Saccharomyces cerevisiae S288C: one gene and its partners. The gene in region 3 interacts genetically with the main gene of each other region. Each region holds a gene or a part of one and is shown on either strand. Other genes may lie near its edges. The genes, in order: ROD1, GRR1 and HXT3.

Evidence for each region.
Region 1: of HXT3 (region 3) and ROD1, changing one suppresses a phenotype caused by changing the other (phenotypic suppression), as found in Saccharomyces cerevisiae (one study listed by BioGRID).
Region 2: of HXT3 (region 3) and GRR1, extra expression of one rescues a mutant of the other (dosage rescue), as found in Saccharomyces cerevisiae (one study listed by BioGRID).

Annotation. Positions count from the first base shown.
Region 1 is NC_001147.6:359,850-371,197, reverse strand, and holds ROD1 (Rod1p), read right to left. Parts: upstream 6,830-11,348; coding exon 4,316-6,829; downstream 1-4,315. Other genes in the region: HSP10 (Hsp10p), read left to right, coding at 354-674; YOR019W (uncharacterized protein), read right to left, coding at 879-3,071; PET127 (Pet127p), read right to left, coding at 7,384-9,786; ERP4 (Erp4p), read left to right, coding at 10,114-10,737; YOR015W (uncharacterized protein), read right to left, coding at 10,846-11,205; protein phosphatase 2A regulatory subunit RTS1, read right to left, coding at 11,251-11,348. UniProt on the Saccharomyces cerevisiae protein: Mediates resistance to o-dinitrobenzene, calcium and zinc.
Region 2 is NC_001142.9:590,035-602,494, forward strand, and holds GRR1 (SCF ubiquitin ligase complex subunit GRR1), read right to left. Parts: upstream 4,294-12,460; coding exon 838-4,293; downstream 1-837. Other genes in the region: BIR1 (survivin), read left to right, coding at 1-548; JSN1 (Jsn1p), read right to left, coding at 5,027-8,302; BUD4 (Bud4p), read left to right, coding at 8,701-12,460. UniProt on the Saccharomyces cerevisiae protein: Substrate recognition component of a SCF (SKP1-CUL1-F-box protein) E3 ubiquitin-protein ligase complex which mediates the ubiquitination and subsequent proteasomal degradation of target proteins.
Region 3 is NC_001136.10:1,156,034-1,166,559, reverse strand, and holds HXT3 (hexose transporter HXT3), read left to right. Parts: upstream 1-1,899; coding exon 1,900-3,603; downstream 3,604-10,526. Other genes in the region: YDR344C (uncharacterized protein), read left to right, coding at 4,111-4,554; hexose transporter HXT6, read left to right, coding at 5,240-6,952. UniProt on the Saccharomyces cerevisiae protein: Low-affinity glucose transporter.

The DNA of each region.
Region 1 (11,348 bases), on a different chromosome or scaffold from region 3:
AATGTCAATATTCAATAATGCATGTCTGTCTTTTTAATTTAGTACATACGTAGGATTAGGTATTGGAAGCAATCATAATGAGTTCTAAAGTTGTTATTTCTCACTTATTGCACCTCTCGAAGTTCTCTCATTAGCCGCCCAATTCTCATTCGTGTGAAGGTCATTAACGGGGTAATGCCCGTCATCAATGATAGAAATTTCTAGAATCTTGAAGGAATGGGAAAAAGAAGCTTGATTATGTATAAAATTAGTCAAAACGCTTATACAGTACAAACTTATTATGTGCTAGGTTTAAAATAATTTCTGATAGAAGCCATTGATCGAAAATATATTGAATCTACAGAAAAAAAAGAATGTCCACCCTTTTGAAGTCTGCTAAATCTATCGTTCCATTGATGGACCGTGTCCTTGTCCAAAGAATCAAGGCACAAGCAAAGACAGCATCCGGGTTGTATTTACCTGAAAAGAACGTGGAGAAGTTAAACCAAGCTGAAGTTGTTGCCGTAGGCCCGGGCTTTACTGATGCTAATGGTAATAAGGTTGTTCCTCAAGTTAAAGTTGGTGACCAAGTTTTGATTCCACAGTTTGGTGGTTCTACCATTAAATTGGGTAACGACGATGAAGTTATTCTTTTCAGGGACGCTGAAATCCTGGCTAAGATTGCCAAGGACTAAGAATGATGTCTTCTTCAACAGAGATTTTATATACATACTCTATATGTATGTACCTGTAAATAGGCCATTATGTATGACAGGAAAAAAAAATAATTGAACTCAAATTTCTTCTGCTATTCAGTTGCTGCCCCCAATTGTCTGCTAATAAAATTGATCTATTCATCAATAGGAATTTTAGGGACACTATGTGTACAAACTATCCGCTCATATTTTGCCGAATAAGAACAATGATTTCTTCTTTTTTTTCTTCTTCTTTTTCTTGTCGTTACGATCATCACTTTCAAAAACATCGCCACTGCTACTATTCCTTCTACTGGATGATTTATTTCCAGAGGAACTTCCACTTTTAAACACCTTAAAAATCCCAACTCCACCCCCAGTGAAGGTGTTCACAGTACTAAAACTAGACGAGCTTTTCTTTGACCCTGCACTACTTGAGGAGTCATTAGTTTTGACTTTTCTTAACGCACCGGCACTTTTAACTTTCCTCAAAGGAATGCTATTATCAACACTACTGCTTTTATCAGATGGATCAAAGGAATTTTCTTTGTCGAAGGAAATACTGTGCCTTATATCAGGCAGATTTCTGGCTTTGCCAAGGGCGGCTCTTCCATCTTTGTGTTTTACAGAGGTTGCAAACTTGATTTGGGACGTAGGCGAGCTACTGAGTTTAATAGTTGTTGTGGTATTTTGTTCCTCTGAGGAAGAATATGGTATTAAAGATTTTCTAAACTTTGTGTTTTTCGACCCATTGCCTATCAAAGCATTCTTAAAGCTGGAAATTTGGTCACCGTGACTGGACTGCGATACATTTTTACCAGGCAACGTCTCTATCGCTAAAGAAGACTTCAATGACTCTCTAATTATGATATCAATTTTCTTCAACAAAAGTTTTTCCTTAGTACATTCTCTATCTTTCTCATCGTCTTGTAATTTTTCTATATCACCCGTGATCTTCCTTCTTGAATGCTGGGCGAGACCGGTCAATTTTCTTGGAATGGAATCATTAGAGGTGTTGAACTGCTTTTTGATGTAGCCTTGCCTTTTGAAATCTTCGGCGTACGAATCTACGGAAATATGTGAAGAAATATCTGATATTGTATTTTTTTTGAACATTGAACTGCTCATGCTCTCAACGTCAGTGTGTTCGTGCTTCATATGATTTTTTGAGACATAATGTTCATTTACTTCTCTTTGTAGATTCAGTTCGAACGAATACATTCGTTTCGAGGGAACAACAAATGTGGGAATCGGATAACTAACAGGAAAGACATCTGTCAGCTTTTTGGATTTATATGTAATAAGATTCTCATTTCGCTCGTGCTTTAAAGTAGCAAGAACTAAGAAATCTGGAGTATGGACATTAATGACATCTACCAGACTTTTTTTAATTTTGCCTACAATTATTTCTAAAGTAATTTTGACGGATATTTTGACCACTTTTACTAGCTGTAAAATATAATCAAAAATGTCGTTTAATTTTTGATCTATTACTTCTTTTTGATATCCCGGTGCCCATTCTGTATCATCTTTTGCAGTTTTTTTCCTGTTAGAAATCATTTTTGGCAGTGTAGTTATGACAACAATGTGATCAAGATTTCGTGCAAACTTGTAGACTGTCCAGTCTAGGGCAACCCACGTATGTTTTTTTCCGTTAATGTGACAAACTATTGTCTTAGGGTTATTGGGATATCCGACCTTTTGTTGAAGTATTTTATGCTTTCTTTTTTGTTCTTTTGTACATGGTGCACTATCATCTCCTCTATATAACGGTTTAATACGCTCTTCAGAGAAGATAAGTTCTGGGTAAGTAAACCATTTTTTTTTGTCATTCAGCCTTTCATTTATTTGTAGTTTTCTTTGGCGCCATAACTTTATCCAGTTCTTTTCAAACCTGTTTATCATCAACGTTTCGTTGACAATTACTGGCGTGCTTGGATAGTCTCTCCTCACTATTTTTCCATTCTTGGATACCAAGAAATATTTTTTGATGTCAGAATTCTTTTCCAACAACTTTGAGGATCTCATTGGAAAACTACTGGATTCAGATTTGTTCTCTTTTCTAGTATTCAGAAAAGGTGATGATTGGAATGTATCTCTCAAATAATATTGCAAATTTGGCGAAAAAGAGTCTGTTTCATCGTCATAGCACTCTTCCATCGTGTAATAGTTGGGAACAGGTACACCTTTGAATCCTTCCCTGCTGTCGTCTATAGAAGAATAACCAGCGGTGGAAGGCACTGTGTCAAAGGCAACAGATGGTTGGAAACTGCCTTTCTTTTTGGCCCGTTTTTTAAGGTTTTGTTCATTTCTCTCTTCGAATTGTTGTCCTGGAACATCGAATGTGAGGCTTCTGTAGCATTTTTGCAAGTCATTTTGTGGGCAAACAGAAATCATAATAATTTAAGGTTGACTTGCCAAAAGGGTGCGTGATCTATAGCAAGTTGAATATTAAAAGCCTTTTTAATGAGGAGTCCTTATTTTAATACGTGTTGGATTCGATGTCCTTTCTTTCTGGTCCTATGCATTAGTGTGGATGGTAACGAGACATGAACCCAGAAGGATATATATGTATCTATCTGCAAATCATATTGCTACTAATAATGGTAGATTGCCATTCACAAAAAAGCCGCCCCTCATAAAACTCAGCCGCGCAAGCTTTGAAAAGGGGCGAGCGGCTGAAACAGAACGGTCTTCTAGAAGGCTGATTCAGCAGTAATTAAGACAAAAGCAGTACTACCAGCAAGAACATAGGAGGTGATTGAGTTATTAATTGAGGTACATCTGAATTGCAAGAACTCTAAATATTTTCTTTTGCGATGAAAAACTGATGCTTGTGTGATTAACATATAACGTAATTCATTGAGAGAAAAGAGCAGCTGTGCTCGAGATCAATGAGTTGACTATAAAAATAGCAATTTCCGTAGGATCGCAAAGTTGGCTAACCGTATAAAATGGGAGGATATATACGAATGATGTCTGTGGGATCTTTAACATTTAATTAGAAAATTTTGTAGTGCCAATAATTGTTGAGGAAGAAGTGCCAAGTAAAGAAAAACAGATCTTCTGAAGCTCATTGTATTCTCATTATATTCTCTCAAAAATACGTTCGTATAACTGATTAATCCTGTTTTTCTAATCACTATTTTAATGTTTCAATTGAGGGATTTTGCCTTCATACAATTGTTGAGAGAAATTTTCCAACAAGTATGGGAAATATGAGCAATTCTTATCTTTTAAAAACAAGAACTGGTCCGATATTATTCACCTCAAACATATTGGACGAGATCATTTTTAAAACGTTAGGGGTGGGGAGGATATCAATAAGTTTTCATAATTATGTTAACCTTCAAGCCATAAAACCGAGTAAGACCACTTAACAAAATCTATGAGAAGCCTTGCGGCAGAATCTGACAACTTCAGTGAAATTTTTTTGTGATTATAGAAGCATAAACTACAACGCCGAATTGTTTTACTTTATAGCAATTATGAGGTAGTATTATAACATTATATTATCATTTTTCAAGTGGTATGAGGTATGAAAGTACTCTATCAAAGTATATATGCTTAACTGTACAAACGTGTATGAAGTATTGCTCATATCTTTTTGTCGAAATTTCGAAGACAAAAAATAAAGCAGTCTATGAGCGATCCCGTTTTGTGAACATCTCCATTAAATTAGCAAATGAACCTGTTCCTTGTCTTAATGGTGAGTTGCTATTGTTGCTCCGAACTGACGATGAGCGTGACCTTCGATTGTGGGTTGCGCTCGTATAGTTTTCCTCTTCTCTTGGCTTATTAGCGTCAGATGTAGAATCAGTTTTATCAAAATGTGAATTGTTCTTGGAACTTGAATTACTAGTGAAAGATGTTGTCATATTAAACGGAAAATGTCTGCTTCCTGTGCTGCTTTTTGCTGAAGTGAAAGAGAGATTTAGATTAAATGAACTATCTGTGTTGTTTCTCGCCAACTGCTGCAATGATACTGAGGATCCGCTATTATTCCTTGGTAATGGAGAGTGGGATAAATGTGTCCTACTAGACGATCTTTTCAGATTATTGGAACTCTTGCTCGAGCCTGGAAGTGGCAACAAAGAGGATGTAGACTTGTGATGAAGAATTTGTGGCCTTTCTAGTTCAATTTTTTTATTTTCTTGAACTCCAAGTTCTTCCTCGGGATAAGCCGGTGGAAGATCCTCACCAATCATATCAGATTTCATTGCTTTATCATACGAGGGAACTCTGCTTAAATCTGTCAGTTCCAAATCGTTCTTCAGCGATGTAGAAGATGTTTGGCGACTATATGAGTTACGCCTAGATAAATGTGCAAAGCTTGGTGTCAGTGAAGGACTATTCAATCCAGCATTAATGATGTTATTATATCTATTTGCAGAAGGAGAGTTATTGTTCCAATTTTCACTAATTGTTAGATTACTATTAACCAGATTCAGGTTACTATTGTTAACGCTGTCCCCTCGAGAGTCACAATTATTTAGGCTATCATCTTCAATCTTGATTTGAGGATTTGGTGCCAAAATAGGATTATTGCTATTGTTACTATCCGATATATATAGGTTTTGAATATTGTGAATTGCCTGTGATTCGACGGCACTTGAAGAAGCTGATGCTGAAGTTTCGTCTTCATTAGTTACCTCGCCATACACTCGATCGTAAACGTGATTGCCGTAGTTGGGAGGTACCATCAAACTAGTTACCATAGTTGTGTCAGCGACTGCGGTAGCCTCTGCATCAGTACTATTGATATTTAAAGTAGAGCCAGATACTATGGTTGGCATTGAAGACAATTGTAACGCAGAAGCAGATCTTTGAAAAATCACATCTTCTTCACTATCGTCTACAAAGTTTTTGCTGCTGAATGAATTATCGTGCTGACTTGTTACTTGATATGAGGGTCCAAACGTTTTGAGCGTTCTTTCAATAACATCGGAGGTCTTTACATTGACTGGAACAAACGGTGAAATGAATAATTGGACAGGCAGTGCCGCACGCAATTCTGAAATATGACCGTCCGGATTGAGTAAACTTATAGTGAACTTGATCTTATGACGGACTTTGATATTAGATAAAATGCGACAGTCTTGGGAGCATTTAGTCAGGCTTGCAGGTATGTTTAATAAAGCTCGAACTTCCCATTTATCTTGAAATTCCCCTGTGTCCGTATCAACCCCTTCGTCGGCAGCTTCATTTAGGCTCCTCTTCTTCTTTATTTGGGCAACGTGCTTCAGGGGATCTTTTAGTTTTAATTTAGCCACCATTCTTTCTTGGTTGATAACCCCTCCATAGCTACCACAATACTGGGAATTTTCCACCAAACTGATCCTAACAGGGCCTAACTTCAATCCTTTTAATATAGGAACAATTAAAATATTGATCATGGTGGAAGAGCCAATGGCAATTGCCTTAGTTGGAATGGAGATCGTATAATCGACTTTTTCAGGCCATGAGTTATCCACTGATACTGTTTCAGATAACTCGACTGCATCTATAGCTAACGTTCGAATAACTCTTAGATGTTTTTTACAGATCAAGTCGGGCTGCTTAGGTCTCTCGATAGTAGCTTCCAGAGCATAAGTGACGGCAGCATTTGGTAGGCCTTCTACACTTTCCACTAATGACCCAGGAATAATCGCGCTGAAAGGGAATTCGTAGTTACCTTTTACTAAGGTGTGATAGTTTTTGCTTGCGCTTGTCTGCCCATTACTTGATATCAATGATGCAGTAGAAAGGGCTCTTTTTCTCTTTGGCAATGCTGCTAAATTTGTTGAGGATTTACTAGAAATTGTTATTTTACCATTATTATGATTATCGTACAAGTTTTGGAAATAACTTTTTATATTAAAATCATCCCAAAAATGAGAATATATGTTTCTCTCAAACTTTGAGTATCGCTTATGCGGCCCATGAACAGTTTGTAAAACCGTTGGAATATTTAGTCTCAACCTACCAAAAAGTCTCAAAGCCAAAGACTTGATTTGAATTGGCTCAGTAATTGACAATACTATAGTTCCAGATAGTAGGACAGAAGATGCCTCATCAGGGGGGCCTTTTATCAGTAAAACATCATTGTCCAAATTTCTAAGTCTGATGTCAAATAGTAATGGCTCTTTTGAAGGTCGAGATGATGATGAAAACATTATTACTTATGGAGGAAGAGAAGCGAATGGTGTGATGAAATCGCGTTGATTTCTGTATGGTTGTTAATTAGTTTTAGATCTGCATCTTTTTGACGTCTATATTTGAATAGGGGACCCCTGTTCTGTTTTTTTCGCTTAATAAAAAAACGCTGAAAATTGCAAGAGCCCAGCCATACAAAATAATTTATAAAAACTGTGAACAGGAAGCTTCTCAGTTTTTATCGGAGAACCCATCTCTGGGGTTAGACATTCATCCGCATTAAAACTCCTATTTTTACTCGTAGTTTTCGGTCTTCAAAATAAAGCAGATTCCTTAAAGTTAGATGCTTTTATTCAACTTAATCAGTAATGTAACATAATATGTACCAAGGGACTCGACTCTTTTTGACCCATTGTTTAATTAATATGTGTTATAATTACAAGAATAATGCATTGTATGGACATATCTAAAAATACATAGAATAATTACATAAGGTCGAAAGTTGTGAGTGAATACATTAAAGTAGTAAAACTTCACCTATAACATTAGATTGCCCAACGCTGACTACTGTCTTCTAGATATGGAACTTGTTACTCCTTTCTAATAGTTTTCTTCGAAGGGCACCTTTTTTAGCATATGCGCGCAGTTTAGTTTGCAGTCGGGTAGGGCCAAAATTAGAATATCTTTTGTTACTTCCATTATCGCGGTGATCATTGCGGGCTTGTAGTGATTTGATTCGATTCATAATTTCATCCTTTTTAGACATATCAGGTTCCTGACGTGTGATTACTTGATTTTTCAATGCGTTTAATTTAACATCCAAATATTTAAAGTATAGTTTTCGTAAAATTTGTTTGTCATTGATATCTGTAAAAGTAGAGTTCACCTCCCAAGTGGAAACATCGGAAGCGTGGAAAAAGTTTGGAGTCTGTGTAGATGGTATATCTTTGTACCAGTCTCGTTTCATCATGTCAGAAATATATTTACGGGATTCGGTGTCGAGAATATCGTTCTTTTTTAAAGCAAAATCAGGTAGATGTGTAGTATTAGGATGATGGTGATAGAAATGCTTGACATTTACTTTAAATCCAACTAAGGAATTCAGGTGTTCCTCCAAAAGATTTTCGTTATATGAGCGGAGGTTTAGTAGCTCCTCTGTTAATTGTTCGTTCGAAGTATCCTTTACCAATAAAGATTTATCCTCGTACTCAGGTGACAACGGCAGGGCTACAATATTTAGCACCGGTTCGTTAAAGAAGCGGCCACTTTTGGATCGTTTTTCTTCAACTTCGGTTTTAAGCATTATTTTGCATTTTTCCCATTTCGTATTACTTGAGTTAAGTAACTGCTCAACGTGTTTCAAAATATTACTGAACAGATTCATAGACATCTTAAATTCCCTATTAGCCACCAAGCAAGCAATTTTCCTATCGTCCCTGTCATAGTGTAGAATGTAGTCCTCCTCACCATATATCCCTTTTGTGATATCATTCTTCTCCTTTAACAAACTGTCGAATTTGCTGTTATACGAAGAATGGATTATATAATCTAATTCGTCCAAAGGTAGATATTGGAATCCAAACATCTTAGAAATATTGTGGTATGCAACGAAAATACCGTCCATTTTGCCAATTCTAGCTTGCAAAGAATACTTTAGAAGGGCAGACCTGATTAGTTCAAAATATTCTCTTTCCAAAGACTCAAATTCCCCATAAACTTTATCTATCTCATATCCAGTTTGGTTGTTATTACTCTCTACATGTGATAAATCGTATCTTATGGCAGAAACTGCTCTTGTCTTCAGATCAAATACACCCGTTCCAGGTAGATTTGGGTCGTACGCGTCCAATTGAGATCTCACAATGAATTCATCTATACTAGAATAGTGATAATTTTCACTTTTTGAACTATTCTTCAGGGACTTTTCCGTTAAAAAGTCTTCAAGATAATGACCTAGTACAGAAAGCACAATCTCCCTATCCAGACTTCTATCTGAATCAATAGAACAAATGCCATTTCTCTTCTTTCTCAGAATGACTGCTGACGGAAAATATGCACTTTCTGAATAATTGCAGTTTTTTTGAGGAAAATTTTTCGATATCGAGGAATCAATGATATTCAATCTTCTGAAATTGGATAATAAATAGTGCAACTGAGAAAGTACTGATGTCATGGAACTTGATGAAGATATGTACTTTTTTCTATGTTCTTTGGCAACCTTTAACAGAGATTCATCTTTGTGGGGTGTGATGAATATTGGCTTGCTTTGTCCTTCTCCAGAGGAGTCTGTGTTCACATCTTTTTCACTTTTCTTTTCCAAATACTCTGGATTAATATTTTCCACTGCAGGGTCAAAATTATACATTCTGCTCCTATTATCTCTCAATTTTTGTAGCGACAACGGTTGGTATAACACTCTCGTTAATCCATGACCAATCCTAGGAGGCTTTTGGTTGTGTTTTTGAACACCATCTTGATTGTAACGTACTAATGCGTGCCTAATCTTCTGGACATTTATCCGAAAAGTGTATGAATTGCTATCTGAATATGTTCTGCTAGCGGGATATGTTCTCCTAGCGGGATATGTTCTCCTACCAGGATATGTTCTTCTACCAGGATACGTTCCTACCTTTGTCCGCTCCAAATACTTATCATGTCTATACTCCTTCTTTATATTTGTTTTCAGTAGATTAATCGCCTTGTCCATTTCTTCCGTATATTTTTGTCGACCTCCCTTTTCCTTGTTTCCAATGTCCTCTACAGTCGAATTTGTGTCATATATTTCATCGACCATCTCTAAAGCACTATGCAGGTCAGAACGTAGCTTGTCTGGTGTTTCTCTTCCACTAGGGGCATTTGTGAGAGCAGCGCCAAAGTGATAAATCGATCGCTGTTGATAGCTTTTAGCGGCGCTACCTATTCTGCAAGGCTCAACAGATAGACGTCTGGACAGGAATCTACAGTTGTAGAACCCCATTATCAAAACTATAAAAGTATCAGGTAGCGTTTGGCTCTTTTTTGTGCTCTCTCAAGTGCCCTGTTTATATTATATTTTTACATATTTGTTTCTTTATTAACCAACGGCATTGACGGAAACGCGCTTTATTATGGACTACTTTTTTTTCACTGTTTCCTGTTTTTTGACGTGATATACTCAAAGATGAGCGATTGACGATCTGAGAATTCTATTTGGGAACTCTTCTCTGCTTTGAAGACATTTATTTCCCAGCTGCCTTTGAAGTAGTTTCACGAGCGCTAGTGAAGTTTTTTCATAAATATATATTCCCAATCATCGCTAGGAATTATGCGCGTTTTTACTTTGATTGCGATTTTGTTTAGTTCATCTTTGTTAACACATGCATTCTCCTCTAATTATGCTCCTGTAGGCATATCATTACCTGCTTTTACCAAAGAATGTCTTTACTATGATTTATCCTCTGATAAAGATGTCCTTGTGGTCAGTTACCAAGTTTTGACAGGTGGGAATTTCGAGATAGACTTCGATATTACCGCCCCTGATGGCTCTGTTATCGTCACTGAAAGACAAAAGAAGCATTCTGATTTTCTACTGAAGTCGTTTGGTATAGGTAAGTACACTTTCTGTTTGAGTAATAACTACGGCACTTCCCCAAAGAAAGTTGAAATCACCCTCGAAAAGGAAAAGGAAATTGTTTCTTCCCATGAAAGCAAAGAGGACATAATCGCAAACAACGCCATCGAGGAAATTGATAGGAACCTGAATAAGATCACCAAAACAATGGATTATTTAAGGGCTAGAGAATGGAGAAACATGTATACTGTGAGTTCTACTGAGTCAAGATTAACATGGCTCTCATTACTAATTATGGGGGTAATGGTTGGTATCAGTATAGTGCAGGCATTAATTATTCAGTTCTTTTTTACCAGTCGCCAAAAAAACTACGTATAGGTTGCTTTTCAAGCTCTTAAAATTGTTGGATCAGCTGTGCTAAGGGGAAGGCACTTTTTTGTATCATGATCCTATTTTTTTTGTTATTTAATTATTTATGACATACCTTTATACTTTAGTTTTCAAAAATCCAATAATAGATAGGCAAGGTTTACGGAAAAGAGTGGAGTGCAAAATAAATAGAGGAAAGGCAGAAGGAAGAAGGAAAGCGAAAAGAAAAACGAAGATATATTTGGAGAAAAGTATAGAAATAATAAAATGAAGACACATCGATTGAAGTATGCTCAAATGATGAGAAAAAGAGACCTTTATCTCAGGCCACAAACAACCATTGTCCAAGTGGCTTATCTTTGCTATAGTTTTGTTCGAATATTCGGGGATTCTATCTTTGGTTTCTTCAACAAGTTGACCCCATTTACCAGTTCTTTTTTGCTCTTCATATACTGCTGCTCTTTTGAAATGTGGCATGCCCTAAACTTCCTCACTTCTTCGAGCTTGTAATGAATTGCTGTTTCACTGTATCTCGCTGTCACAATCATTTTCGTTCTCTTCATTTAATGTGTTATTCTCACTTGCTGTGTTGAAACTGTTTCTTAATTCTGGGTTTTTGA
Region 2 (12,460 bases), on a different chromosome or scaffold from region 3:
TAGATTCATCAACTGTAGAAATAAAAAAGGTTATTAAACCCGAATTTGAGCCAGTCCCATCAGTTGCAAGGAATTTGGTGTCTGGAACCTCTTCATATCCACGGAATTCACGTTTAGAAGAACAAAGAAAGGAAACAAGCACAAGTTTGGCTGATAATTCTAAGAAAGGAAGTTCATTTAATGAGGGCAACAACGAAAAAGAACCGAATGCAGCAGAATGGTTTAAAATTGATGAAAATAGACACCTTGTAAAAAATTACTTCCATGATTTGTTAAAATATATAAATAATAATGATGCTACGCTAGCTAATGACAAAGACGGTGATCTGGCTTTTTTGATTAAGCAAATGCCTGCAGAAGAGTTGGACATGACATTCAACAATTGGGTGAACCTAAAAGTGCAATCTATTAAGCGCGAATTTATAGATGACTGTGATAAGAAATTGGACATATTGAGAAGGGATTACTATACTGCCACAAATTTTATTGAAACTTTGGAAGATGACAATCAATTGATCGATATTGCTAAGAAAATGGGCATTTTATAGCTAACTAATTTGATAAACAGGCTAAAGGTTTGTATTTTTTGTAGTTTTGAAACTGTGTATAGAATGTTTCGCCGCATCGCAGATATCTGCAGGGAACTGTTGACATAGCATCTTCTGTGGACGTGACAACGTTACGTATATTCGTTGATACCGCAAGTCTATAGCGTATACATGCTAAGGCAAAAAGTTTCAAAGTGAATGCATTATGTATTTATATGTAAATAAGTAAGAAAAGTGGGATTTTGAAAATAAAGGTGTAGTAGGACAGTAAGTATTCAATGAAATACAATTATAACATATCTTCATCGGGCGTTCCTGATGCTTCATCCATTTGAGAATCAATGGCAGTGTCAGGCATTGATTCGTCAATTGTGTTGTTGTTATTGTTCCTAACCATGTTCTGATTACGAAGTCCCATTTGGAGATTCCTCATCTGGTCAGGTGATATTTGCATTCTATTGCCAAACTGACGCCAGAAATTTGGATTTTCTGTTTCATTGTCATCATTACCATTGTTAGTTTCATTGTTACTTGTATCGTTTGCCCCAGCATCCGATACAATATTCACTATGTTGTTGGCGTTCCGGTTGGCGTCATTGTCATTATTGTTATTCCATGCTGATCTTTGGTGGGCTATTAATAGTTCTCTTTGTCTGGTTAACAATGTTATGTTATCTTTTAAATATAGTCTCAAAACAACGGTGGAGAGCTTGTACTTCTGAACCACCATAATGAATTTGTCAATGAATAAAAGTCGCCATATTAAAAGCCCTTTTTGGTAATCTATGTTGCCCGATTCCTGAACCGTTTTTTGTACTAAACAAATTTGTCTGTTTAATTCAATCATTTGCATATAGGTTTGAGTCATTTCATGAAGTAAAAAACCAGTAAACTGAAACTGAACTCTTACCAAACTAGCAACATTCACCTCGAAATCATCAATATGATCATTTAACTCATGGAATTTTCTAACAATATGACACATTTCACTGTTAATTTCCCGGTTTACACCAGGTGCTACGACATAATCTTGATCATCGTCCACATCACTAAATGGATCTTCACAAAACGTCTTGTTTACTTGCAATAATAGTGAGTTAACTTCCTCCGAGCTCATCCTAATGCCATCAAAAGTATTGAGATACCAACTGAATACTTCATCTATTCGTTCAAAATTGATATTCTGGAAAAGAAAATCGTTATTTAGACCGTTGATTTGATTTAATCCTGTAGCAGCTATAATTGCAGCGGAATCTTGATTTAAATCAGTTATGATTCTCCTAAGAGCATCTTCAAGTGTTTCACCGTTAAATATCAAATTCTTGGATCTAATATATTTTGTCAAAACATCATTTACATCGACATGTGGTCCAAAAGCGGGCGACGTTAAATTTACTAAATAATGGCGAAGTTTATGAACACCTTTCCCTGAAAATACGCAGAATATTTGACGTTGATTTTCACTAAAGTCTGAGGGTGCAGGCCTGCAATACATCGTTATATCGGGGCGTAAAAATGACGGAACAGCAGTCAAAGACAAATGTGAGAGCCTTGGGCAAGACATTAGAAGCTCATATATCGGATATATTGTTAAATTAGAACAGTAAGATAAATGTACCCTTTCTAAAGTATCATTTCGGCCTCGCAAGGAAACCATATTCAACAAACCCTCGTCAGTCATTTGCGTACATTTGACAAGGCCAATTCTCTTTAATTTTGGTAAGTCTGCTAGTTCATAAAGAGTTCTATTGGTTAAATTCGTACAGCACGCAAAGTCCACATACTGTATTCTTGTACATGAATGAAAGAGTGCTCTTACCCCGTTATCAGTTATATTGAAACAGTGCCCAAAATGCACTGTTTGCAAGTTTTTGCCCAGCTTCGATAATTGGAACAACGATGCATCTGTAATTCGGCTACACTTGCCTAGAAAAACATTACGTAATTTAGGGGCTAAATTGACTATACTTTCTATAGTTTTATCTGTAATATTTTCACATCCAGAAAGATCAATCAATCTTAAAGAGGGCATATCGTCAACTACTTTAGAAAGCTCCTGGAAAAGATTATCCGTAATATTCGTATTATGAGTTATTCTGAATTCCCTCAGCTGAACTAACCTAGTGAGGAGTTTTAACAAACTAGAATCAGTGACATTTGGACTTAATGTTATATCGACCTCTACAAGCAAAGGGCATTTGTTGGCTAATAGTTCTACTAATTCGTCATTCATGTTATTGTTTGCTGTGATTTTTATTCTTTTCAACATCGGGGAATGGACTATGAAATTCCGCAGTGAATCGAATGTTACATTCCTTGCCTGAGGAACATAAAAGCCCTGTACTCTGGGACAATATGTCGCTAAGGTATCAAATACGTCATCGGAAACGTCTCTTATTCCAGTGATATCCACACTTTGGAGAAATTTACATCCTCTCAAAACAGCCGATATTGGAACACTGGTTATATGCTTGCAAAATACTAAAGTTAGTCGCTCCAAATTCTTACATCCGACAAAATAGTTAAGCTCTGTATCGTGCATGTAGTCACCAACAAATGAAAAATTTAATCTTTTGATCATTAAACGATAGTTGAATACAGTTTCTTCAGAAGTTAACTTCATAGTCCTTAAAAACAAGTCTAATTGACTCTTTTTGTTGATGTGCGGTCTGTAATAAAGTATCTTCACAATTATTTCAGCCCAGAGTTTGGAAACGGTAAGGAATTTTACAATATCATATTTTTGGTTAAGTTTATCTAATATTAAGTGTAATATTTCCGAGGGTAGCATGTTTAGGGCAAACACAGGTGATCTTCGGGTGACACTCGTACATATGTTTTGATTTGATGGATTCGAAAGCACATTATTTATGAACTGCCTTGAATATCTCGAAAGATCTTGTAGCCCTTCTTTCAAGTCAGATGATTCAGTAGTATCTATGGAGTTTATCCAAATGATGAAATTATCTGTTGGATTTTCCACTTGTTGACCTCTTAGCTTGGAATGGCAGTATGCATATAATGACTTTTTGTACTCTTCTATAATTGTTAATATTTTTAGCCTTAAATTTCTAATTTCCATGTTTTCTGTCTCTAGCGCCCTAAGCCTCATTCTTTGTAATTTATGCAAATAACTAATTGCTTGTGGGGAGTTATCAATACGTAGCTCCTTTAGTTTAAGGTTGTCTAGCTCAATTTCGTTCAGTATTTTTTTTCTACGTTTCTCTATAACAACCAGAAACTCTTGGATTTTTTTGCCCACTATTAGCTTGAATTCGTGGATTTGCTTCCGTTCTTCCTCTGGTAGGTTCGGTAACAATCGATTAAGTTGATCTATTTGAACATTGACACCATTCATAAGGTTTGTGTTCACAGTGTTTATGTCAATCCCGTTCAGCGCATTTGTTTGCTGTTGTGGTTGAAATGTCAGCGAAAAGTTTTGATTTAGCGGTTGTCCGTTGTTGGTTGGCAAAAGCGTTTCCCGTTGAATACTATCGAACCTAAAGATATTATTTAGCGTTGCATCCCTAACCTCACTTGCATTTCTTTCCGAAGTTGCCGTTTCTCTAGTTCGTGATGGCATTTGTGGTCTTGTGCTATTATTATTGTTGTTGTTGTTGTTGTTGTTGTTGTTGTCGTCAAAATCACCGCTACTATTCAGCCACAATTGAGGGCCCAAATTTGGATGTATATCAGGTGGGTGCAGCCTATTGCTGTCATTGTGGTTGTTGTTATCCTGATCCATTATAGACCTTCTTAGTATAAAGGAAACCGCAAAACTGTTTAGCCTCACTACCAATGATAATTATTGTGCCGAAATCAATGAGAAATTTCAAGATTTCACGCAGGTGTAAGCTTAAATGCAATGCCTTAATTTTTGGGCTTCCCTGCTAGTTGGACACAAGTACGATTTTGATATTCAAAAACCGGGCTTCTAAGAGAACGATTAAATGAAAACGAATTATTGTGTAAAATCGAAAAACTGGTGAAGTATGGACAAAAGAAAGTAACACACAGGCACAGTTAAATTTGGTGTTATGTATTTTGCCACGCCTTTTTTGATAATCATATCACTAAATTTGTTAAAAGGCAAATTTTAAAACAAGTTCCTTTACCAAGGAAGGTCCATAGGCGGGTAACCTCAGTAGTAATGAAAGCCTAGTAATGATGACTATAAATGTTCATTAACACATCTGGGTAATAAATGATGATATTTTTAAAAACTGTATAAAACTTTATGGATTTATTTAATCATGATTAGGTGTAGAAAAAAAATTTGGCGATATGATGGCTTGAAAAAGACACGTCTTCCCAGTAATGAAAATGCCCAAATTCTTCATTAGCTCGCTCATATTCTATTAGGATTTGAACCATAAAACCGTTGGGGGTAAATGAGATAGTTTTGAATGGATGCAGGTATGAGAAGAAAACGGCGTGGTCTCCCAATGATGACGGAAATAAAAGAAAACATGGGGACGTCAGTTTGCAGAGTGTAAAGTCAGAGTTTCAAAAACGGTGTTATCGTCGTTATAGTTCGTGTTGTTATTATTGTTGTTGTTGTTCGTATGAGGTTGTGAGGAGCCAACATTGTTTACTAATTCCATAGTAGTGTTGTTATGGTTAGTTAGGCTCAGTTGTGGCAACGATAAACGGGTTCCGTTATTAAAGTTTAGCATATCAAACTGGGAACTTAAGTCATCGTTGTTCATAGCATATCCATTACTGGCGTTGCCTGAAAAGCCGCTGACAGGGAAGACGCCAGGATAACTAAAATAGCCCATTGAAGAATTAGAATTGGCATTCAATGGTTGGCCCGGGGATAATGTAGAGGCAGAAGAACCATTTGTAGTCGTGGTGTTCATTGTGGTATGTTTAGATCCACCACTTTTAACGCTAGAAACAGAAAGACCTCTCATGTGTTGTCCAGAAGTATCAGGAGTGGCGAACATGTGCGAAATGCTGCTGTTATGATGCTGCTGCTGTTGTTGTTTTGTCTTGTTATGAGTACTAGAGGGTGATGCCAACCCGACTTCTTCCAATAAACGGCGGCTTGGTTGGATTTGAGTAGAATCCGTCAATACTTTTCTGACTTGTTTAATGATGTGGGCTCTTAAGTCATCTTCTAATAATGGCATTGCTAAAACTTTATGGACAAAGGTTGGGCCATAATTTGTTTCACATAAAAGCTTTGTTAATTCCTTTGGTGGCGAAGAATCGTGTGCGTTCACGTTTCCAAATAGGGAATCTAGGATGATTTTTCTAGCGTTATCATCCCCTCTGTAATTCAAGACCTTCAAAATAGTCAAAGAAGCCAATCTGTGGCCACATAACTCTACAATTCTTTTCGTCAATCTTGGTGCCAAGATAGAATGTCTGTTGGGTAAAACACTAGTATCTAAAAACCACGTTACTAACAACGCACCATTGCTATTAGTGCTTAGATATTCAGCATATGTAACGATCATTGCACTCAAAACTATTGATTGTTCAGGAGTTACAATGTCATGTGCCTCTAAACAAGCTCTGACTGCCCTTGCACCATATCTATTCTGAACAATAACCCAAAAATTAGCTATTATACTTTCAAAAATAAACTGGTTCCAGGGGAATCCAAATTTCAAAACGCACTGTATGACATAATTTCCGAATTGGTCATTGATTAATGGAGTACAGTAGTCCTTGACCCCTTGCGTCACTTGCATGATTTGTCTCGGAGTATGCGCCATAGTGATCATCTTCTGACAAGCCCATGTTCCGTTTTTGTGAACACCCATAGAGGTTAGGTATTTGCTTGTTTTCCTCAGCATGATGTCTTTAATAATATCAGATGAATGTTCAAATAATTTTTGAACGATAGTGTTACCCAAGTAATCTGAACTCAATTCGGGCAATTCGTCAAGCATTGCAATAGCCAACTGTTCGATCTCTAAGTCGGAAAATGCGTTTGAATCGATTGATTTTCGCAATTCGCGTAATTTTGGTGGATCGAACTCCCTGCCAGACAATGGTTCTGGTAAAGGTCCAAAGTTTTGCGTATCGGAAGTGCCTTTGTGATTCAGCGATTTTTTTATCAACGAATTGATTTGGTATTCATCGGAATTTGCTTCAAAAAGTTCGATGATCTCTCTTAACAAATCTTCCTTTTCGTTAACGTTAGGTGGTGGTAGAGGGAAAGGACATTGTTCTTTTTCATTTGCTGAGTTATTGTTGTTTCCGTGCATACTATTGTTATTATTATAACCATGGAGAACATTGCTAAAACCAGCAGAACCCGAACTATGGTTTTGGTGCTGCGATTGTTGTGATTGCTGGTTAAATACAGGTATAGAAACATTTCCTTGTTGTTGGAAAGTCACAGCTCCATTGAATAACTGCTCCTGTAATAAAGGCTGTGGTTGCAAATTGTTGTTTTCTAAACCCAATGGCAAGCCTTGAGAATTGAGAAGAAATTGTGGGGGTTGTTGATGCATAGGTAAGATTTTGGCAAATGAAATTTTACTTGGTGCTCCAATCATAGATACCTCCTTGCCCTGTAAACTATCTAAGGCTTTTACGGCACTTTCCACGGAAGAAAATTCAACTAAAGCCATGTTTAAATTCCTTAAAGTCCTAGCAGATATGACTTCACCATATTTGGAGCATAGGGTTGCCAAGGAAGTACTTGTTAAGTTTATCGCGTTATTTAATTGTGGCTGCTGGTGCTGTAGGGGAAAAACGTTGGAAATAGAAATGGTATTTGTGGGTAAAAGGTTCGATATTTGGTTTATTGATGGTACAGTGGGGTCCATTGTTACCCAATTGATGGATTGCGGATCTATTTCATCAGCAATCAATGGAGATTCCTGTGTTGGAATAGTATAGTGCGATGAAATACTGGCACGAGCGGGCTGTTCGTACAGTGGAGCGTCGGTATATATGCTAGACGCGTTGGATTGAGATCTCTGTCTGGTATTTGACCAAACAGAGTTTGGGATAGCCAAGTTATTCGTATTCATCTTATTATCTGCCATTTGGCTTCCACTAGTAGATACCATGTTGTCAAAATATGCAGTTTTTGTCGAATAATCGTTGAGCGTGTTTGAATTAGTTGTATTATTGCTTGTCGTAGGTTGCAATTGTTGCAAAAGGTGCTGTTGCATGGGATCGTTCGCACTAGCATTTGAAGACCATATTCCGCTCGAAGTACGAGGCTTGGGGGCGATTGATGAAATGGAAGTTATCTGAGAAGACATTGTGTTGTTTCTCGTCCTCGAGATCTGATGTGGCAAGTTAAACGAGTCGCTAGATCCTCGGGGGGCAGGAATTAAGAAGTTATTACTCGAGTCAGGAAAATGCACCAATTTTTCCATGTCTTGAGGAGGGGTTAAACTGCCAGGTCTATCCATAGTTACACCGTCTATAGAACTTTCCATCATCTTACTCCTGGAAGGGCTGGCCCTTGGTGTCTTGGACGCCACCGTAGATTGGGAACTGTTGTTGCTAGAGGAAAACTCAGCACCGTTCTTTCCGTGACTATTTTTCTTCGAATGGTGTAACTTGGCACTGATGGAGGGCAAAAGGTTACTCAATGTATTAGAAAATTTTCCTGCTCGCGACCTATATGATCCAAGCTTTTGGGGTTGTTGCTGCAGTTGGCTATTACTCTCTCCATTGTTCTCGTATTCTTCCTCGTATATTGGGATAGTGATGCCAGGGTCAATCACCTCGGGGATGTTGGACAAGTTGTTGATGTTCATCTGCTTACTTTTATCCATCTTAAGAAGGAATAAATAGACGTTCACGCTCTTTCTCACACATACACACAAATCTCTCGAAGTGCCTCTTATTGTTTTAACTATTCATCTCTATGCGCCATTGGTCATCCTACGAGAAACGCCCCCCTTTGTCCCAATAATTGTCGGCGGGTAATTTGTCCAAATGAAAAAGAGACATTGTCGCGAGGAACGAATAGATGACCCGATTTGGAAAAAGGTAAACAACAATGAAATATTCCTCGAGAAAACAATAATGTTTATTTATGCAAAGGAAACACTTAGAAGGGAACATCTCCATTCACTAAACTTCGTTGGTTTGGTGTATATTTCTTTGATTCAGTCTGTGCAAGAAGAATTTTTTAGTTCATTAAATTATATAAAAACAAAAGTACAGAAGCATGCACGACGCAGAGAGTACCGTAGATTCTCTACTGAAGGAGATAGACAATGAAATGGAACAAACAAAGTCTAATATCACGCAAAATGGTTCCGAAGATACACCACACAACTGGAAGCTTCCGCTGCAGGAAATAGGCGATGATACCATGGAAATGTTGGTCAAACACAATACTAGGTCGAATGCTACAGAAAATAGTAGAGGTCGATCACCTTCTAAGATGTCTACCATCTCAAATGAAAGCCTTAATTTGGGTCTCTTACGTGTAAATTCGGAACTTGAAGAGTCTCCAGCCGCTGTGCATCAGGAACGGATTAAAAACTCTGTTGCCAACGGGGCACTTGGTCATGCCAATTCTCCCAAAGTGCTTAATAATCTGAAAAATATGGCACAAGATATAGATAAACTAGCCCGTGATGAGGAAAAGCCCGTAAAACTTAGCAGCTCTCCCCTTAAATTTACTTTGAAATCGACTCAACCACTGCTGTCGTATCCAGAATCGCCCATCCACAGAAGTTCTATTGAAATTGAAACGAATTACGATGACGAAGATGAAGAGGAAGAAGATGCATACACATGTTTAACACAGTCACCTCAAATATTACACTCTCCATCAAGGATTCCAATAACTAACGCAGTGTCGATTAATAAGCTCAATCTTGATTTCACATTGAATCCCAACGAATCAGACAAAAGTCTAGTATCTGACACCTCAGTTGATAGCACAGGACGAGAACTAGATACGAAAACAATCCCAGAATTACCATTTTGTATGTCATCAACGCCCGAAATGACGCCAGTCGATGAGAAATGTAACCTTCCAAGTAAATTGTTGAACACTAGTAACAATTCACATTCTGATTCAAGATCGCCAACAGCCTCTGTGGAGGATTTAAACATTTCAACGAATCTGCCGGGTGCTGATTCCAGCCAAAATAATCCAGTCACTACTGATGCGGATGCGCTTATTGAAAACGATGTTGTGCGGGACCTTCAACAGAATATGGAACATATCGATGATGCTTTTGATGAGAAAAAAGTTCTTGACGAAGGTTGCAGCAATGAGCCCGTTACCTTTTTGGGTGAAAATGACACTAGGTCCATAGTATACTCTAATAAAGGGACCAATGCTAATGTTCAAGAATTTTCACAGGAAGATTCTCTAGCGCACAGTGAACCCAAATTCAAAGATCTTAATGCTACATCGGATGACGTATGGAATGAAGACAAAGAAACAGACGCAAATATTTCAACATCTACAAAGTCAGAGGAAAGCTACATTGCTGACTATAAAGTAACGAGACAAGAAGACTGGGATACCAAAAAGCTTCATCAAGAAAGTGAACATGCAAATGAACAACCGGCAATAATTCCTCAAAAGGATTCTTCAGAAGAAACATTCACTGAACTAAATAATGAAAGTGAATTCCAAAGGAACTTTAAGGATGGAGAGGAATACCGAATCGTTCAACACGAGGAGAGCCTGTATGGACAAAGAACAAAGAGTCCAGAAGAAAATATAATAAATGGCAGTGAAATTGGTGTCGACCATGGAGAGGCCGCTGAAGTGAATGAACCATTGGCAAAAACTTCTGCAGAAGAACATGATCTTTCATCATCATGTGAAGATCAGTCGGTGAGCGAGGCTCGTAATAAAGACAGAATTGAAGAGAAGGAAGTTGAAACTAAGGATGAGAACATTGAAACCGAGAAAGATGAAAGTGAGTACCATAAAGTCGAAGAAAATGAAGAGCCGGAACACGTTCCCCTCTTACCACCCCTGCCAAGATGGGAAGAAATTCAATTCAACGAGCCATTTATAGATGAAAATGATACCTCCAATGATTCCATCGATTTAACCAGATCCATGAAACCATCAGATTACATTTCTATATGGCATATCCAAGAAGAGGAAATCAAATCCAATTCACCAGAATCCATTGCCAACTCCCAATTTTCACAACAATCCTCGATTACCACTGCATCTACGGTCGATTCTAAGAAGGATAATGGATCAACTTCGTTCAAATTCAAACCTAGAATAGTGAGCAGGAGTAGGATTTACAATCCAAAAAGCAGAGTATCCTCATTGAATTACTACGATAATGAAGATTACATTTTAAGCAACAGTGAATGGAATGCACTCGACCCTATGAGAAGAAATACACTCATCTCTAAAAGGATTCAAGATAACATAAGAACTCAAAAGGGTCACGCTCCACTTATTAGGCCAAGCATCATGAAACTTAATGGCGAAGATTCTGGTTTTCAGAATCATTTCTTGGAGGTAGAACAACCGCAAGAACACGAAAATATCCCATTAAGTACGCACCTAAGCGAACAAGATATCACAACAAATGTAGGCCTCGATGAACAGAAATTACCAACCAATACCCAGGACGAAGCTGAAATTTCCATTCGGGAAATAGAGAGTGCGGGTGATATCACTTTTAATAGGGGCGATTTACTATCTTTATCCTTTGATGAGGAATTGGGTCAGGATTTTGCTAATTTTCTAGACGCTTTGGATCATGACTCCACATCTTTCAATCATGGGCCGGATGATTCATCCAGTTTTCAAAGAGACAGTTCAAAGAAAAGCTTCAATTCTCTTTGGGAAAGCAGTTACGAACTAAAACCGCCACCTTCCATAAGAAAGCAACCTATTGCCCCCGACGTCCTGCAAAAATTATTAGAATCAGATACTAAAGATGACGCAGATTTGGAAAAAATTAGAGAAGAGCGTATAACTGAACCAAGGACTGGTTTGGGGATTGGAATGCTGAAAACACCAGTTAAGGATGTTTCAATTGCGCTAGCTGCAAGCATTAAAGGATATGAGGCAAGTTTCAGCGATACTGACTCTCGTCCAGAGGGCATGAATAATAGTGATGCCATCACTTTGAACATGTTCGACGATTTCGAAGAAGATAAAATGACCCCTTCCACTCCAGTTCGTAGTATAAGTCCAATAAAACGGCATGTTAGCAGTCCTTTCAAGGTCGTGAAAGCTGGAAACAAACAAGAGAATAATGAAATAAACATTAAGGCTGAAGAGGAAATAGAGCCAATGACGCAGCAAGAAACCGATGGTTTGAAACAAGATATTCCTCCACTGCTAGCGCAGACAAAAGATAACGTCGAAGCAAAAGAAGAAACGATAACTCAACTTGAAGAACCACAAGACGTTGAACAAGAATTTCCGGATATGGGAACACTTTATTTAAGTATAAAGGCTATTTCCACGCTTGCATTATATGGAACTAAGAGTCATAGAGCAACATATGCTATTGTTTTTGACAATGGGGAAAATGTCGTTCAGACACCCTGGGAGTCGCTTCCGTATGACGGTAACATCAGGATCAATAAGGAATTTGAATTGCCCATAGATTTTAAAGGAAAAGCCGAAACATCCTCCGCTTCTTCTGAAAGAGATAGCTACAAAAAATGTGTTATCACATTAAAATGTAAATATGAAAAACCTCGACATGAATTGGTCGAAATAGTAGACAAGGTGCCGGTGGGTAAGAGTTTTTTTGGAAAGACAAAGTATAAATTTGAAAAGAAGTATGTACAGAAAAAACCTAAACAAGATGAGTGGGATTATCTATTTGCACAAGACGGTTCATTTGCTCGTTGTGAAATTGAAATTAATGAAGAGTTTTTGAAAAACGTGGCATTTAATACCAGTCATATGCATTACAATATGATTAACAAGTGGAGTAGAATCGCAGACAAAATTCACGGCTCAAAAAGGCTGT
Region 3 (10,526 bases):
GTCTATTTTTGGAAGTTAGGGGCTAATGATTTTCTACGGCTGCCGAGCATGGATGATGCCTTTATTTAGAAGCATGTAAAAAAAGCGTCTCAAAACACGGAGAAATGCACTAACAATGGGTATACTAGACTTGTTAAATTCAAATTTCGGCGAAAAGAGACTTGTATTTCATTAGTTACTTTTCGTTCAGTTAAGCATGATCGTCTAGGCGTTCCATTAACTAGTATCTTGGTTCTTTATGTAGTTTGAAGTTATCTCTGTAATTAGGCTCCTCATTTGCCAAAGTTAAGTATTGGATGTGTGTGCAGTATGCTTTCATGCCTCTATAGCAAAAATCAATGGCTCTCAAGAAATTTGTCGTAACCCACTTTAGCATATTTATTTACATTTTGTCGGAATATTATTTCTTCTCTACAGAAAAATGAAAGCAACAGAATTGAATTTCGACAAGTCACAAACAAACTTTGTAGACTTTTTATTACAAAAATTTATTAAGTGACATTCACTACTTGTATTATTGTGAGAGAAGTACATAGCACCGGGAATCTTAGACAGGGTTACTACTAACTACAACCCTCATACTGCCTTACGTAGCCAAACAAGAGCAGTTCTCAGATTACAATGGGAGATCATTTGAAAATATCAAAGATTGATCAAGAATATTTTACTGGTGGCATCCGCCCGCCCTTTAATTTCGGAATTTAGTGCTGCTTACAACTCTTCATTTTCCTCATGCGGGACGCCAGCTTTGGTGCGGGATGAAGGCAATATCCAAACCAGCATCAGGAAAAGCCTGAAGAAATGTGGTGCCTAATGCTCTTATCTAATCTGTATCCACACCTTACAGCGAAGTGTTCAATTAACTGTGCGGCTAATTCTGACACTTCATCAAAAATTACACCGGTATATCAAATGGCGGTGTAGTTTGAAAAGTACACTGTATGTCCATTAATAAAATTACGCCGAAGAACACTGACTAGCTATAAATTCTCTTCCGGCGTCCAATTTCAACCTAAGGCAAGTATTGTTAATCAATAATGCGTGTTGGTAAATATGAAGCCCGATGTTGATTAAGAAGAATTATTCGTATAAGAATTAAGCAAGCAAAATTAAGGAAAATTTTTTCTTTCCTATTCGTCATCGCAGACAGCCTTCATCTTCTCGAGATAACACCTGGAGGAGGAGCAATGAAATGAAAGGAAAAAAAAATACTTTCTTTTTCTTGAAAAAAGAAAAAAATTGTAAGATGAGCTATTCGCGGAACATTCTAGCTCGTTTGCATCTTCTTGCATTTGGTAGGTTTTCAATAGTTCGGTAATATTAACGGATACCTACTATTATCCCCTAGTAGGCTCTTTTCACGGAGAAATTCGGGAGTGTTTTTTTTCCGTGCGCATTTTCTTAGCTATATTCTTCCAGCTTCGCCTGCTGCCCGGTCATCGTTCCTGTCACGTAGTTTTTCCGGATTCGTCCGGCTCATATAATACCGCAATAAACACGGAATATCTCGTTCCGCGGATTCGGTTAAACTCTCGGTCGCGGATTATCACAGAGAAAGCTTCGTGGAGAATTTTTCCAGATTTTCCGCTTTCCCCGATGTTGGTATTTCCGGAGGTCATTATACTGACCGCCATTATAATGACTGTACAACGACCTTCTGGAGAAAGAAACAACTCAATAACGATGTGGGACATTGGGGGCCCACTCAAAAAATCTGGGGACTATATCCCCAGAGAATTTCTCCAGAAGAGAAGAAAAGTCAAAGTTTTTTTTCGCTTGGGGGTTGCATATAAATACAGGCGCTGTTTTATCTTCAGCATGAATATTCCATAATTTTACTTAATAGCTTTTCATAAATAATAGAATCACAAACAAAATTTACATCTGAGTTAAACAATCATGAATTCAACTCCAGATTTAATATCTCCACAAAAGTCAAGTGAGAATTCGAATGCTGACCTGCCTTCGAATAGCTCTCAGGTAATGAACATGCCTGAAGAAAAAGGTGTTCAAGATGATTTCCAAGCTGAGGCCGACCAAGTACTTACCAACCCAAATACAGGTAAAGGTGCATATGTCACTGTGTCTATCTGTTGTGTTATGGTTGCCTTCGGTGGTTTCGTTTTCGGTTGGGATACTGGTACCATTTCTGGTTTCGTCGCCCAAACTGATTTCTTGAGAAGATTCGGTATGAAGCATAAAGATGGTAGTTATTATTTGTCTAAGGTTAGAACTGGTTTAATTGTCTCCATTTTCAACATTGGTTGTGCCATTGGTGGTATTATTTTGGCTAAATTGGGTGATATGTACGGTCGTAAAATGGGTTTGATTGTCGTTGTTGTTATCTACATCATCGGTATTATTATTCAAATTGCATCCATCAACAAATGGTACCAATATTTCATCGGTAGAATTATTTCCGGTTTGGGTGTTGGTGGTATTGCCGTTTTATCTCCTATGTTGATTTCTGAAGTCGCTCCTAAGGAAATGAGAGGTACTTTAGTCTCCTGTTACCAACTGATGATTACCTTGGGTATTTTCTTGGGTTACTGTACCAACTTCGGTACTAAGAACTACTCCAACTCTGTGCAATGGAGAGTTCCATTAGGTTTGTGTTTTGCCTGGGCTTTGTTTATGATCGGTGGTATGACTTTCGTTCCAGAATCCCCACGTTATTTGGTTGAAGCTGGTCAAATTGACGAAGCAAGAGCATCTCTTTCCAAAGTTAACAAGGTTGCCCCAGACCATCCATTCATTCAACAAGAGTTGGAAGTTATTGAAGCTAGTGTTGAAGAAGCTAGAGCTGCTGGTTCAGCATCATGGGGTGAGTTGTTCACTGGTAAGCCGGCCATGTTTAAGCGTACTATGATGGGTATCATGATCCAATCTCTACAACAATTGACTGGTGATAACTATTTCTTCTACTATGGTACTACCGTTTTTAACGCTGTTGGTATGAGTGATTCTTTCGAAACTTCTATTGTTTTCGGTGTCGTCAACTTCTTCTCTACTTGTTGTTCTTTGTACACTGTCGATCGTTTTGGACGTCGTAACTGTTTGTTATATGGTGCCATTGGTATGGTCTGCTGTTATGTAGTTTACGCTTCTGTTGGTGTCACCAGACTATGGCCAAATGGTGAAGGTAATGGTTCATCCAAGGGTGCTGGTAACTGTATGATTGTCTTTGCCTGTTTCTATATTTTCTGTTTTGCTACCACTTGGGCTCCAATTGCTTATGTTGTTATTTCTGAAACTTTCCCATTGAGAGTCAAGTCTAAGGCTATGTCTATTGCTACAGCTGCTAATTGGTTGTGGGGTTTCTTGATTGGTTTCTTCACTCCATTTATTACTGGTGCTATTAACTTCTACTACGGTTACGTTTTCATGGGCTGTATGGTTTTCGCCTACTTCTACGTTTTCTTCTTTGTGCCAGAAACTAAGGGTTTGACTTTGGAAGAAGTCAATGATATGTACGCTGAAGGTGTTCTACCATGGAAGTCTGCTTCATGGGTTCCAACATCTCAAAGAGGTGCTAACTACGATGCTGATGCATTGATGCATGATGACCAGCCATTCTACAAGAAAATGTTCGGCAAGAAATAATTTCACGCTAAACCGTAGTGCTGAATAATAGTGTATTTTAAGATTCGATGTGCTAGTCAATAATGATAAATAATACACAAGATTTATGACTTTATATATATAATTCTCTGATACAGTTAATAAAAGACATTGGTACATGATATCAAACAGAATTTTAACATTTCTTGATCCAGTTTGTAAACAAAACAAACAATTTTTCTACCATTTAACTTCATACCATCGGCGAGAGCCGAACAGGAAAAAAAAGAAGTCTCCGGTTATCGTAAGCAGTATCAAATAATAAGAATGTATGTGTGTGCAATTTGTTATACCCACGAAGAAGTGCGCAGTAGAGTTAGAAAACCAACTGAGTAATCTTTACTCCCGACAATCGTCCAATAATCCTCTTGTTGCTAGGAACGTGATGATGGATTTCGTTTGAAATCCGGACGGAAAACTCAAAAGAAGTCCAACCACCAACCATTTTCGAGCCTCAAGAATCTCTAAGCAGGTTTCTTTACTAAGGGGATGGCCTTTCTGTCCTGGACATTTTTTCCTTCCTTTTTTCATTTCCTTGAAAGGAACAGATTTTTTTTGACTTTTGCCACACAGCTGCACTATCTCAACCCCTTTTACATTTTAAGTTTTCGGGTTGAATGGCATCAAATTTGGGAAAATTTAGCTTACTCAGACACCAACACATTTTTTCATGAGTATTGTTGGAAAATCTTTCCATGCTTATCAGCCGGAATACGGAACAACGGCTGCTGTGATGCCGCAAAGGGGCAAGGAAAAAATAAGCAACACACACCGAAACAGGAGGAAGAAATTCCGAACACAAGCCTAAGAAGACACCGCAGTTGTTGCAACATGTTCACATGTTCATCCCCCTGCTACTACTTGGAAATTAATGTAGGGGTAATTGGAGTGCGCCGGCCCGTGCTTTCAGAGGAACAAAGGAAGAATTGTTAAAAAAAGGCAGTGACAACGAGCACGGGTGCACCATATGGTGTGATAAGCAACCTAGGACAAAAAGAAGTGCGCAGTTCCTGTGTGCGGCGCCAAGACAAATGTTTCATATGCTTCTCCAAGGGGCTACGCTACCTAGCCTCACCACCCGATCTCTTTTTTTCCTGAACGCAGAGGGGACCGTACGAAAAAAAATGTTTTTTAGGCAACGGAGATTCGTTTTATCCACGTTTACCCCACAAAAAGTGCAGGTACATTGTGGGGCCCCGGCATCGAAAACCAGTTTTTTTCCTTTAAACGCTGGAAAAAAAGGAGAAATTATTGGAACTTTGCAGAGAATAGTCCGTAGGCAAATTGAAAATGTTCCTTAAAAAATTTCGTTTCTTACTCATTGAGATTATTCAGATGCCCTCCGTGCCTTCATTGAAAAAAATCCAAGAGATGTCTCGGATCTGTATGCAGATTTTGGCTTGCAGACAATGGAGAGCAAATGGGTATACAATATAGAAAGCACAGAAACATATAAAAAGAGCTCGAGAAAAGACATATGGTTTGTAACTATCTTCTTCTTTTTTCCAATTTTTCTGTTTTAATAATAAAAAAACAAGAACAAACAAGCTCAACTTGTCTTTTCTAAGAACAAAGAATAAACACAAAAACAAAAAGTTTTTTTAATTTTAATCAAAAAATGTCACAAGACGCTGCTATTGCAGAGCAAACTCCTGTGGAGCATCTCTCTGCTGTTGACTCAGCCTCCCACTCGGTTTTATCTACACCATCAAACAAGGCTGAAAGAGATGAAATAAAAGCTTATGGTGAAGGTGAAGAGCACGAACCTGTCGTTGAAATTCCAAAGAGACCAGCTTCTGCCTATGTCACTGTCTCTATTATGTGTATCATGATCGCCTTTGGTGGTTTCGTTTTCGGTTGGGATACTGGTACCATTTCTGGTTTCATCAATCAAACCGATTTCATCAGAAGATTTGGTATGAAGCATAAAGATGGTACTAATTATTTGTCTAAGGTTAGAACTGGTTTGATTGTCTCCATTTTCAACATTGGTTGTGCCATTGGTGGTATTATTCTTTCCAAATTGGGTGATATGTACGGTCGTAAGGTGGGTTTGATTGTCGTTGTTGTCATCTACATCATCGGTATTATTATTCAAATTGCATCTATCAACAAATGGTACCAATATTTCATCGGTAGAATTATTTCCGGTTTGGGTGTTGGTGGTATTGCCGTTTTATCTCCTATGTTGATTTCTGAAGTATCCCCAAAGCATTTAAGGGGTACTTTAGTCTCTTGCTACCAATTGATGATTACTGCCGGTATTTTCTTGGGTTACTGTACCAACTTCGGTACTAAGAACTACTCCAACTCTGTGCAATGGAGAGTTCCATTAGGTTTGTGTTTTGCCTGGGCTTTGTTTATGATTGGTGGTATGACATTTGTTCCAGAGTCTCCACGTTATTTGGCTGAAGTCGGTAAGATCGAAGAAGCCAAACGTTCTATTGCCGTTTCTAACAAGGTTGCTGTTGATGATCCATCTGTTTTGGCTGAAGTCGAAGCTGTCTTGGCTGGTGTAGAGGCAGAGAAATTAGCTGGTAATGCATCCTGGGGTGAATTGTTTAGTAGCAAGACAAAGGTCCTTCAGCGTTTGATCATGGGTGCTATGATTCAATCTCTACAACAATTGACAGGTGATAACTATTTCTTCTACTATGGTACTACTATTTTCAAGGCTGTTGGTTTGAGTGACTCTTTCGAAACCTCTATTGTCTTGGGTATTGTTAACTTTGCTTCCACCTTTGTTGGTATTTACGTTGTTGAGAGATATGGTCGTCGTACTTGTTTGCTATGGGGTGCTGCATCCATGACTGCTTGTATGGTTGTCTATGCTTCCGTGGGTGTCACCAGATTATGGCCAAATGGTCAAGACCAACCATCTTCCAAGGGTGCTGGTAACTGTATGATTGTCTTTGCCTGTTTCTATATTTTCTGTTTTGCTACTACATGGGCTCCAATTCCTTATGTCGTTGTTTCTGAAACTTTCCCATTGAGAGTCAAGTCTAAGGCTATGTCTATTGCTACAGCTGCTAATTGGTTGTGGGGTTTCTTGATTGGTTTCTTCACTCCATTTATTACTGGTGCTATTAACTTCTACTACGGTTACGTTTTCATGGGCTGTTTGGTCTTCATGTTCTTCTATGTTTTGTTAGTTGTTCCAGAAACTAAGGGTTTGACTTTGGAAGAAGTCAACACCATGTGGGAAGAAGGTGTTCTACCATGGAAGTCTGCCTCATGGGTTCCACCATCTAGAAGAGGTGCCAACTACGACGCTGAAGAAATGGCTCACGATGATAAGCCATTGTACAAGAGAATGTTCAGCACCAAATAATTTGCGAACATTTTTATTAATTCATGATCACGCTCTAATTTGTGCATTTGAAATGCACTCTAATTCTGATTTTATATTTTTAATGAACCCTTACGATTTATATTGTATGGCAAGATGTTGCCAATAGAAGTATAATTTTTTATTAATTTTTTTTCTTTTCTAAGCTTTGAAGAAAAGTTAACAGCTTTACCCTTCAAAGTTATTGTTTTGTAGCGCTAGAAGCGAAGTAGGCGCTCTTTCTCGCATAAGCTACCTTAGGAGGAAAAAAAAAGTCTTCTATTATAAACAAAGTACTCTATAATTCATCAAAAAAATTAATTATGAGCCGGAGCTTTTCACAATCAGTGTACATATGCAGGGCTCACCTCGGTACTGCGCTTTTCTACCTGAAATTAAATAGAGTCACCTCATTACAATGAAGCTACTAAACTCCTCAATGTTAAACTGGCATTGCGACAGAGTAGAGAAGGCTTGTCAATAAACCTGAATTTTTGGTAATAAAAAGAAAATGGGGATCATATTAGGCCTTTATGATCATCCTTGGCAAACTACATCCCATATATGTTTGAAAAAGGGTTAATGATATGAAAATGTTTTTATTTAATAAGAAATGATGTACTACTGGCGGCGATTGGTAAAGAGGATCTAAGTTTTCTTTCCTGGCAGATGATAAACAGTTAGCATTCCCCAAAAAAAATAATTTCACCTTGTTAAAAAGGTAATTTGCGAGAAAACATGAACAGTCTGCCCCTTAATGAACAGTTTTTGGCCAAAGTCCTATTCGAATATATTTTAGTGGAAGAAAATCTTGTAGGCTGTAAACTTATTGATAGGCCCATTTGGTACTATTATATGTTATTTCAGCAACAATTTATGGAAAGGTTGCCGTAAGTAACCTTTAGATGGCAGGAAGGAAAAAAATCATGCTTTAAGAGTGGCTTCAGTAGCTAAAAAGGTAGTATACATCGCACAGTGAATATTCGCCCCAATGGACGGAAAAGTTCATGCAAGATTAAACGCAGTACCAGAAAGCCGCGTTTGTATGGTTTTATTGGCGTCCATACAAATAACTTATTAGCGGGGTGACAATTCAGAGACAATTCTAATGTCGAAAAGTGTACCATCACTAAAGTATTCCAGGGACTTCTGCCCACCACGTAGAAACGCGTTGTTGAATTATTTGACACAGTAATTTACCTAACTGGTCAAATGATTCTGTCTACTTCATTGGCTATTTTTCGATTTCTTTAACCTGCGACAGGAATTCAACAATGTTTAAACAAAAAATTCTGACAGCTAACTAGTAATTTTTGACATAAAATAATGATTATCTTCACCATGATAGAAATGCAGGACACGTAGTAAAAAGAAGAGATTTTTCCTTCTAGTACCGCGTGCTCAATACCACACTTTTGCAAAAATGCATCGATATATTAGGTAAACTCAAACAACGAAAGGAGGAATAGGCATTCGATATTGCTATTTTCAAATTGTATGCTGACGTCAACTTTTTATTAAGGATATGATAAAATCAACAAATGCCAACTTCTTCAACTTTTAGAAAGTACGAAATGCTAATAATCTTTTGTTCGTATGCTCCCTGAGTTACAATTCTAAGATCATTTTTGTGTTCGGTCACCAGCAACACTATATAACGAAATAACAGTTGCCATATTCGTTTTCTGTCTTGTTGAAGCTCAGATTGCTCAAGAAATAAAATAATTACTACATGAGACAAAAAATCTCATGGGAGCAAAATTTTCAACGCATGTTCAGACCATTTTTTTTTGCCGATGAGTGAGTAATCGCCAATGGGTCTTAATCAATTACAGATCTTAAACAGTCGTTTGGTTTTCGATGCTCAAGGGATCGGACCAGCAATAATCGGAAGAAGAGATCAAACAATCGGTCATTAGTCTCAAAGAACATGCAAGCTAACACAATGTTAGTGAGGAAGAGATAAAAGTGTGGGGTGATGGTTGTTCCTTATGTTTATTACAGGAGAACGTTAAGTGAACTCTGAGAACTAACTGCAGCAGCTTGATTCTCCGCCTGTTTACTTGGAAAAGAAATGGGAACAAAAAAGGTACTGCATTTTTTTCCGGTTCTTTTCTCCACCTAGGATGAGGAGTAATTTGCCTTAATGGGGGATTAAATCCGGGGCTTTCCAAAGCGGGACCCATTTAATTCCACCTTCGGATTTTTTTGCATAAACTCTCAATTTCCCCGCGATCCATCTGCCGAATGGTGCACTCTACGGAAAAATACAGTAAGAAAAAAAAAAGTCCTGTAATCTTCAAGTCTTAGATTGACAGGAACGTTAATATTTTTCCTGATCTATGTTTGACAAGTATGGTAATTGATAAAATTACGCATATACTGCCAATAGCCCTAAGTGATAGTAGTCGGAAGAAAACAAAATGGCAAGCAGTTGACAGCAAAAATTGTTAGCGTATCCTATGGGTGGTGGAAAGAAAAGTTTATTAAGCTAGTATTATGTGTTTTTACTTTCTCACGGAAAAATTCTCTAGAAGAAAAGCGATTTTATTTTTTTATTTTTATTATACTTAGCATCTCGAAAAATTTCATTCACACGGTGAAAAGAAATTCCGAATGAATTAAGATCGCATTTAATTTCTTGATGTCTACATTAACAGGCTGCACAAAACAACCCTAGAAAATAGTACTCTCATCGCTAAGATCATTTGGGGTTGTTAAGCATGCCCTGCTAAACACGCCCTACTAAACACTTCAAAAGCAACTTAAAATATTTTTATCTAATTATAGCTAAAACCCAATGTGAAAGACATATCATACTGTAAAAGTGAAAAAGCAGCACCGTTGAACGCCGCAAGAGTGCTCCCATAACGCTTTACTAGAGGGCTAGATTTTAATGGCCCCTTCATGGAGAAGTTATGAGGACAAATCCCACTACAGAAAGCGCAACAAATTTTTTTTTCCGTAACAACAAACATCTCATCTAGTTTCTGCCTTAAACAAAGCCGCAGCCAGAGCCGTTTTTCCGCCATATTTATCCAGGATTGTTCCATACGGCTCCGTCAGAGGCTGCTACGGGATGTTTTTTTTTTACCCCGTGGAAATGAGGGGTATGCAGGAATTTGTGCGGGGTAGGAAATCTTTTTTTTTTTTAGGAGGAACAACTGGTGGAAGAATGCCCACACTTCTCAGAAATGCATGCAGTGGCAGCACGCTAATTCGAAAAAATTCTCCAGAAAGGCAACGCAAAATTTTTTTTCCAGGGAATAAACTTTTTATGACCCACTACTTCTCGTAGGAACAATTTCGGGCCCCTGCGTGTTCTTCTGAGGTTCATCTTTTACATTTGCTTCTGCTGGATAATTTTCAGAGGCAACAAGGAAAAATTAGATGGCAAAAAGTCGTCTTTCAAGGAAAAATCCCCACCATCTTTCGAGATCCCCTGTAACTTATTGGCAACTGAAAGAATGAAAAGGAGGAAAATACAAAATATACTAGAACTGAAAAAAAAAAAGTATAAATAGAGACGATATATGCCAATACTTCACAATGTTCGAATCTATTCTTCATTTGCAGC